Tribolium castaneum: one gene and its partner. The protein of the gene in region 2 binds, or shares a complex with, the protein of the main gene of each other region. Links are inferred from orthologs where the notes say so. Each region holds a gene or a part of one and is shown on either strand. Other genes may lie near its edges. The genes, in order: Usp12-46 and WD repeat-containing protein 48 homolog.

Region 1 (4,445 bases), about 2.1 Mb from region 2:
GCCCTACAAGGTGTACCATGGGAAAACTGGCCGTGTGTTCAATGTGACGGCTCACGCTTTGGGTGTGATTGTTAACAAGCGTGTTGGGGGCCGTATTATCCCCAAACGTATCAATATCCGTATTGAGCACGTGAATCACTCCAAGTGCAGGCAAGACTTCTTGACCAGAGTGAAACAAAACGAAAAATTGCGAAAAGAAGCTAAGGAGAAGAACATTCGAGTGAATTTGAAGAGACAGCCAGCACAGCCAAGGCCTGCACACATCGTCAGTGGGAAAGTACCAGCCGTTCAATTGGCTCCTATCCCATATGAATTTATTGCTTAATTTGTACGCCTTTTGTGTAATAAAGACATAAAACAAATTTGGGTGTTTGAAATGAAACGAGTCAGTGCATTTTTTCAAATATATTTATATCTAACGAATATTTACAGAATAAAAATAAAATCTGCTTAGCAGCATTTATACAGTATGTTCTAGTTTCTCATATAATATTTAAAAGTTGTATAGTATTTGTTAACAAAATAAGAAGAGTGAATTTTACTTTTTTACCGTGTAGGGGACATAATACTCGCTAAATTAGATGCACGGTTTGGTTACCACCTAAGAATTATTGCTAATTGGAATAAATATAAGGTTTGTAAAAAACAAATTAAGTAAACAAGTAAAATTCACCATACAGTCAATTATTCCTATGCTGTTCCACCACAATAAAGTAAATCTTGTTTTCAACATATCGCTATTTATTGCAACAGAACAACAAAATCAACGTCGATTCGTTTCGAAAAGTACGGGTAAATCGCTTTGAAAGAAAAATTTTAGGAAAAAAGTACGGCCGGAAACTACAATATGCAATAAATAAAATATAAATCCAACAATTTTCAGTTTCAAATCATATTTACAGACTTTTTTCATAAACATTACCCGTCCCAATGCAATGAGAGGTGACTTTGTACTTGTATTAAATCCTCTCAATGATTAAGGCAAGGAGCAGCAGAGTTCATAAACTCTCTCGAGACTGGTAAAAAAGGATGTAGCCTGTTTCTGAAGACTTTTGAGTATCAGACGTGAGGCCGTAGAAATCTTCTATTGTTGAAGCGTCTATTTTCTATTCAAAAGCACAATAATAACCATCGGGAATTCTCAAATACGCACTAAACTTACGTCAACTTGGTCGTCGTCAAACAGCAGCCAGAAACCGTGGCTCTTGACTATACTGATGTAGTGGCCTCTGTTAGGTCCGCTTCCGCAATGTATCACAACAGCTACTAAATCGTATAATCGGTCGGGATTAACTGCATCGTCCGACTGAAAACACAATTAAACTGTAGCTCAAACTCAAATTATTAAAATCTCGGACATTTATCTTTAACCGTATTCGCAGTGTTTTGAAAAACACGGAACGAAGCGCAAATTTTGAATAATTTTTCTCTCATGTTTCTTATGAAAATTTTAGTCTATTAAGAGTGCAAAAGCTCAAGTAATTAGTTAACTGGTGGTATTTAAACAAATTGCTTACTGTGTTGAAAAGTCTCAGTTCCAAAGGAAACACAACTCTGTGTGAGACCTTAATGTGCCTGTTGTACTGTTCCATGTACTTGAACCTCTTGAGATGCAATGCAAGAATCATCGGCAGTTTCTTCACCCTCATTCGTTTTTGAGCTTCCTGGTAACTACTGCAGTTATCACACTTAAATTTATTATCGCTACACAGAGTCTCTGTATTACTAAAACACCTCAAACAATGAGTTATACTAGTGTTCTGTTCGATGTCCACTTGTAAATCAAAAAAGTCTTCATCTTTACTGCTCACATTCTCACAATTCAAACACCTAGTTTCACTTGTCAATATACCCTACATGGAATAAAAAATTTGTGAGTTTTAACCCAACAAATCGAACAACAGTACCTGAAAAATCTCGTGTACCCAAGTGGGCTCAGGAGTTGTGTGTGCAGTTCCATTTTCTCCCGTTGCTTTTGATTTTATGTTGTTTGTGGTTGAGTTTTGTTGTCTTTCAGCTGTAATTTATTGTAAGTCAAGGGAGCATTACTAAAGAACGCGACTTACCCAGAATTATTTCACTAATATGGTTGATTAAAAAATTTAAAAATTCATGTGCATCCTGTTGCATGTAATTATCAAACTCCTCTACAAGACTCAAGTAAAAACACCGGTTTAAAAAAACATGCCAACAAACCTTTTTCTTTTCGTAGCCTTGCTATAAATTTTTTTGGTGCAATAGAGCCTACTTTCTTTTTCTGCGTCGCAATGCTGTGGAACAAATCTGCAAGACATGTAAGCAAAGTTTCTTTAGTCCTCTTATTTTTCGCTTTGTACTCTAAAACTCTATCTCTAAAAGGTTTGCAGAAGTATAGAGCCTGAAGAACCGAGTTACTATAACACGTATTTCCAAACTGCAACAGCACAAGTCAGTGGGAAAACACCCAAGCTCAGCAACTCACATTTACTAAACCAAAGTAATGTTCATTAGAAGGAAACTGTTCAGAGCCGATATCTCGTTCCAGCTGGGATATATTCGCACCCTACAATTGATTAAAATACAATTAACTCAATAAAATAATTAATTATGACACAGTGACATTATTAAATTGTGGTTAGTTCATGTTTGACTCGAAAGTTGGGCTCGGTTTGCGGTAACCTCTCTCGTGGCCTTTGCACTTACCATATTTTAATAACTAATCCATCACGTTTATGTTAAAAACGTCCAAAAACAATACTTTTAAATCACAAAACTTCCCCATTATTGCATTTTGACAGCTGTAAAACAACCCATGATAACAGAAAGTGACAGGCGACATGCCCACAAACATCGCGATACCGAATTTCCCCAACACTTAAAGACAGAGAGACGCAGGAAAAAGGACAACAGACGAACAAAAATCGATCCAAATTTATTTATTTTGAATAAAGTAATTACAATAACAGCTTTCATGCCTTTTTGGTGCAATTAACTGTCTTCACGACCACTCCACCGAGCGCTTCGCTCGCCACACAGAACGGGAACGAATCCATTCCGTTACAGGCAGCCCCAAATTCCCCCTTGTTAGTGCTCACTAAAACAGCCCCGAAAAAATCGGGGTATTTTTCCGCAATTCTATCGATGGCCGTTTGGGCTGCTTTCGCAGGCGAGGCGCCGCGTCTCATCTCCTCCACTGCCAAAAAACTATCACAAGCATTAATATTTGAAAATAATTATTAAAAAAGAACCTGGGCAAAAATCGCATCATTACGTCGCCATCGCCTGTTGCCACAGCCGCCCCGACTGTGCTATCGGCGTACGCGCCCGCCCCAGGTATGGGGGAATCCCCGACACGTCTGAAAAAATCAATTAAACCGATTGAGAGCGTTTAACATTATACCCTGGGATTTTGTGACTGGCTCCGTTCGTTGAAGTCCCCGCTGCAACGTTCCCACACTCATCTATGGCAATCATGCCAATTGTGTCATGGTTATCGGAATTAAAAATTTTCCATGGCTCATCTGCCAGGATTTCGTTTGAATCGGCTTGGTAAGGGCCGCATGATTTCGTAGGGTCCGGATTTACATTCTGATTTAACACTATAATCATATTAAAAATCATAAAGTGTTGTAAGTACCTGCCAAAAGTTGGGCTGACACTTTCTGGACTTCCACTCCTTCCACACGTTTGTGGAATAATTCGTAGATAAATTCTCTTCATGCAGTTCGAAATTTTTTGCAAATTCAGTCGCTAAATCACCCACAAGAAATGAGTGTTTTGTGTGCTGTAGAACCATTTTTGCGGCAAGTGCCGCGTCTTTGATTCTTCTCAAACCACCAACAGCCCCCATATTCATTGTGGTGCTGTTATATAATTAGGAAACAATTATGAAATGTAAATGTACACGAACCCGTCAAATATCATGGCGTCAAGGGTAGTTTCCCCGTTTTCGTCGGGACTTCCCCCATACCCAACAGTGTGGTCACACTGCAGTTCTTCGCAAGTGGAACATCCGGTTACTACAGCGTCCACAGCGGTCGAATGAGCCTCTTGCAAAGTTAAAAATGCTGACAAATGAGTAACATAATTAAAAAAAAATTGCAAAAATAAAGCGACTTTACCATTTACCGCAGCTTGATCAAACCACCAAGTATTCATAGCAATAGGAATAGAAGCGTGAGCATTGTCGAAGAAAATAAGGAAAATCGTAATAACAAGAATAAAAAATTTGAGAGTCATTATAAAGTGAATCCAGAAGCTACAAAATAAGTGTTAAAAATATTGTTTAAATAAGCGTCAAGTGTTGTATTTTATTAAGCAAAAAAATAGAAGTAAACCCTATTCAGTAAAATTCTGTTCACTCTTAAAAACAACGATTTCATAGTCGTGTTCGTAAACGTAAAATTATGTGAAACATCCTGTATATTCTAATCTAATTTTCTAATAAAAAGCATAACAGTGTTTAA
Region 2 (4,259 bases):
GTACATACGGAATAAATAAATGCAACTATTTTTTAATCGGTGTGAGATTTGTTCAAAAACCCCCCCAAAAAAAAACAAATAAAACTCCGCGTCTCTAATAAACTACAGATTTTATTACTAATGATATGTCAAGCTTACAGTACTTAAATCTAAGATGTACGCAGTGAACTACCTTAACCTAATTACAAAAATTTGAAGCGTATTCAGCCGTGAAAACCATGTCCGTAACCAAAACCTCCAAAATTGCCGGAACTGAATCCGCCACTTCCGCCTCCGCCGCTGCCGCCGCCACTGGCGAAGAATCCTCCAGAGTGTCCTCCTCGTCCTCCGCTGCCGCCAGAACCGCCACCGCCGCCACTTGAGAAACCACCTCCGCTAGAAAAACCGCCTCCGTGGCCTAGAGATCCGGTGTGGATGGTGCGAGCGGTGTAAACACTTGAAGTGGCCACGCTGCCACCCCCATGACCGCCGCCGCCGCCGCCTCCGCCTCCACCTCCGCCCCCATACAGAAACCCTCCCTTAACGCAACTTATCGCCACGATGGCGAAAACGGCAACGAACTTAATATTGATTAATTATTATTAATTAATAAATTTCATTAAGGACTTACCAAATGATTCATTCTGAAACAGTGACGAATGAATGGTACCCCATGATTTATATAGTGATTATTTGAAACGTGATACCATTCTTGCACTTGTTTCAATATAACACCATGGTTAAGATCAGTTACTTCTTACCAACGTTGTGCACAATTTAGGGGTCAAATGTAAAAGTGACCTATTTACAATAATTTAAGCTTAGGTACCCGATTTTAATTAATAGAGTGGAATGAAATCTTTAGAAATCTTACGTAAGAATTGTTACACGCACGCGGAAATTAAAATAATTGCTGTGGTACCTAAATCTGCGACTGGTTCTAGAAAATGTTAATGCGTTCAAATATTTGGCAATGTTTTAAATATCAAATAAATAATAATTTCCAAATAAATAATTCTAAATAAATTATTAGAAAAAAAATTTACAAACGGAAAATGTAAATAGGTATGAAGACGACAAATTCAGAAAGTGATTCCAAAAGTAAATATCAATTTTTTACATTCTATTTTAAAGTCCAATCTATCGCAAGAATATCAGAAAAAACCGAATAACTTTTAGAAAAAAACCACCAAATGATAGTCAAGATTCTTGATCTTTTAAAATTCCTAGAAAACAAGTCAAAAATTCATATTAAATTTTCGATTGACGCGTTAATGAAGCGTTCTGATTGGTTCAATTTAGTCATGTGATCACTTATGTAATGAATATTAATTTACAATGACGCTGCTCTAAACCGGTACAAAATTACAAAAATGTTATGGTTATTGTGACGGATGGTCTAGAGTTGAATTATTACTGAAACACAAAACTTTTCGCATTTTTTTAATCATTGCCCCCTAATTACGTGCCGCCACTGCGCTGGCTTCCCAAATGTCAAAATAAAGTCAGACCGTTCTAACCTCAAGTTTTTACAAAGCTTTTCAAAAAAGCTTTTTTTACACTAATCACGCCAATTTATAGCCCATTTCTTTAAATAAAAAATGCCACATTGCTAAACTTCCAAAAAATGGCAAATCTGAAGCCAGGCGGGCAAAATCCGCGAAAAAAAGTCCAGGTTAGTTGTTTACATTCTGTATTTACAAAACAGTTTTTTGCAACAATCTTGGCCAGGTATCAATGGTAATTTGCGAAGCTGAGGAGAAAAGACACAGATCTGGGGTAAATGCCCTTCAGATAGATCCGGCATTAGACCGTTTGTATTCTGCTGGGAGGGACTCAATTATTAGGGTGTATGAACATGAGCGCTATTTACACGGAATGGAGCACCATACTGATTGGGTTAATGACATAGTTCTGTGTTGCGGAGGCCGGCACTGTATTACTTCCCCTTTCGTTTATTTTTTCCTGAATATATTTTTATAGTAATCTCTGCAAGTTCTGACACTACTGTTAAAGTATGGAACGCCCACAAGGGCTTCTGCATGTCAACTCTGCGAACACATAAAGACTATGTGAAAGCCTTGGCTTACGCCAAAGACAGAGAACAAGTCGCGTCTGCAGGTCTTGATAAATCCATTTACTTGTGGGACATCAACACCTTAACAGCACTAACAGCGAGCAATAACACAGTCACTAGTAAGTCCAGAATGTTGTAATACACACACTCACACGAATTCTAATAGCTTCTAGTTTGATGGGCAGCAAAGAATCAATTTATAGCCTAGCAATGAACCCTCCAGGCACTGTTATAGTAAGCGGATCCACCGAGAAAGCCCTCAGGCTTTGGGACCCGCGAAATTGCGTCAAGTTGTTTAAGTTAAAAGGTCACACTGATAACGTTAAGGCTTTAGTTGTGTCAAAAGATGGCACTCATTGCATTTCTGGCAGCAGCGATGGGTCCATCAAAGTGTGGAGTTTAGGGGGCCAGAGGTGTATCCAAACAATCAGAGTGCATAGCGACTCCGTTTGGGCACTTCTGGCCACGGAAAATTTCACTCATGTAATCTCCGGTGGTAGGGACAAGAAGGCAATGATTTTGCACGTTATTTTGAAAAATTTTACCAAATAACTTCCAGGTGATAATGACTGATCTGAAAAACCCCCAGAACAGCGTTGTGGTCTGTGTGGAGGAGGCGCCAGTGCTCAAAATGTGCTTCACGGCAGACCAGCAGGCTGTCTGGGTTAGTAATTTTTTTTTGCATCAGATTTCTTAAAGATTTCCCAATTCCTCAACATTTTCTGTTGTTATTAATACTCAAGGTACAAACAGCTGAACAAAGTTTTTGTAGTTCCAACATTTCTCTTTTTTTATTGTTATTTGGAAGCACATGAGGCAACATTTTTTTTCTATTTATGTTTCGTTTCCCGTTCACGCATTTTATTGTCTGTTATTTATAATTTTTCTTGCTTTCGGGTTTACCTAGGTGTCAACTTCCAACTCCAGCATTCGCTGTTGGAAGTTGCCAACCGAGAAACACTTCAAAGAAGAGGCCAAAATGCCGACATCGCCCATTTCGCTGATACCAGGCGGTGCTGCGATACGTCAGGCCGTCGTTCTCAACGACAAGAGACACATTTTGACCAAAGATGCCAACGATAATGTCGCTCTTTACGACGTTTTGCGTGCGCGAAAAATCGAAGACCTAGGCCAAATCAATTTCCAAGACGAAATAAAAAACCGATTCAAAGTAGTTTACGTCCCGAATTGGTTCAATGTTGATTTAAAGACTGGAATGCTGACGATTCATTTAGGACAGGACGAAGTCGATTGCTTCTCGGCCTGGGTTTCGGCCAGGGATGCGGGAATCAGGGACTGTCCAGACCCCGACCAAAAAGTAAACTACGGAAAATTGCTACTGCAAGCACTGTTCGAGCATTGGAGAGGCGTGGAGAGAGACCCCGAAAATAAACTGTACTTCTCAGTACCCAAACATATACCCTTGATTTTGAGGTAAATAAAGCCTCAAATGACAAATTGCCGTAATATTTTTTGTAGTGAAGTGGGCGGGCGCACGCTTTACCGGGTCTTGGTGGGCGACACAGTCGGAGACACCGAAAATGCGCTCCTGAACGAAACAGTGCCTAATTGGGTTATTTCCATTATTGAGGAGAACAGTACCGGGAAATTCATCAAAGTGCAGTTTTACCTTCAGCCGCACTCTTCGGTCCCGTCTCATTTATTGAAACAAGACAGACTGAAAAAAGTAGCTATTTTTTTTGGTTTAACACTCCTTGAAGTTGTTTTTTCAGCCCGATAGATTGGTAGCCAATGATTTTATCCAGTGTCGCAAAGTTGCCGAACATATTTTGGAGAAATTACTGGGGGATGGAAACGCAAGTTCTCCCGGAGGTGACGCCGATTCGACCACTCCCAGCGGCAACGGGTACAACGTTGATCAAATTGAACTGACCTGCAATGACCAAGTCCTGGACCCAGCCATGGACTTACGAACCGTTAAACATTTCATCTGGAAATCTTCGGCAGACCTGACGCTGCACTACAGGATTGTCAACCCCAAATAATTCATTCCTTACACTTATTTATTTATCCATGATTTTGGTGGACAGATTTATACTAGTTTCTTGTAATCAAACATTTAGCAGTATATGTTTTTCGTATTTGTTTGCAATAAAAATATGTAACACGAAAAATTAAAATAAATTTATTTAAAAAACTTTGACTTGTCATTTTCCCTGTCACATCCGTCTTGTGATCAAAA

What was found.
Region 1: WD repeat-containing protein 48 homolog (region 2) and Usp12-46 share a complex: the UniProt entries of both Drosophila melanogaster proteins name them as parts of the usp12-46 deubiquitylase complex. The link is inferred for Tribolium castaneum from reciprocal best matches to the Drosophila melanogaster genes CG9062 and Usp12-46.

What each region holds. Positions count from the first base shown.
Region 1 is NC_087402.1:3,059,166-3,063,610, forward strand, and holds Usp12-46 (ubiquitin carboxyl-terminal hydrolase 46), read right to left. Parts: upstream 2,829-4,445; 5' UTR 2,686-2,828; coding exon 2,683-2,685; intron 2,543-2,682; coding exon 2,462-2,542; intron 2,414-2,461; coding exon 2,197-2,413; intron 2,148-2,196; coding exon 2,067-2,147; intron 2,018-2,066; coding exon 1,908-2,017; intron 1,854-1,907; coding exon 1,518-1,853; intron 1,307-1,517; coding exon 1,163-1,306; intron 1,107-1,162; coding exon 999-1,106; 3' UTR 391-998; downstream 1-390. Other genes in the region: RpL21 (large ribosomal subunit protein eL21), read left to right, coding at 1-325; N(4)-(Beta-N-acetylglucosaminyl)-L-asparaginase, read right to left, coding at 2,949-3,183, 3,228-3,335, 3,380-3,567, 3,617-3,842, 3,890-4,046, 4,101-4,218. UniProt on the Drosophila melanogaster protein: Catalytic component of the Usp12-46 deubiquitylase complex.
Region 2 is NC_087402.1:5,165,162-5,169,420, forward strand, and holds the start of WD repeat-containing protein 48 homolog, read left to right. Parts: upstream 1-1,401; 5' UTR 1,402-1,606; coding exon 1,607-1,654; intron 1,655-1,710; coding exon 1,711-1,915; intron 1,916-1,962; coding exon 1,963-2,175; intron 2,176-2,222; coding exon 2,223-2,566; intron 2,567-2,615; coding exon 2,616-2,720; intron 2,721-2,963; coding exon 2,964-3,490; intron 3,491-3,535; coding exon 3,536-3,743; intron 3,744-3,789; coding exon 3,790-4,062; 3' UTR 4,063-4,259. Other genes in the region: uncharacterized protein LOC107397745, read right to left, coding at 204-560, 611-622. UniProt on the Drosophila melanogaster protein: Regulatory component of the Usp12-46 deubiquitylase complex. activates deubiquitination by increasing the catalytic turnover without increasing the affinity of deubiquitinating enzymes for the substrate.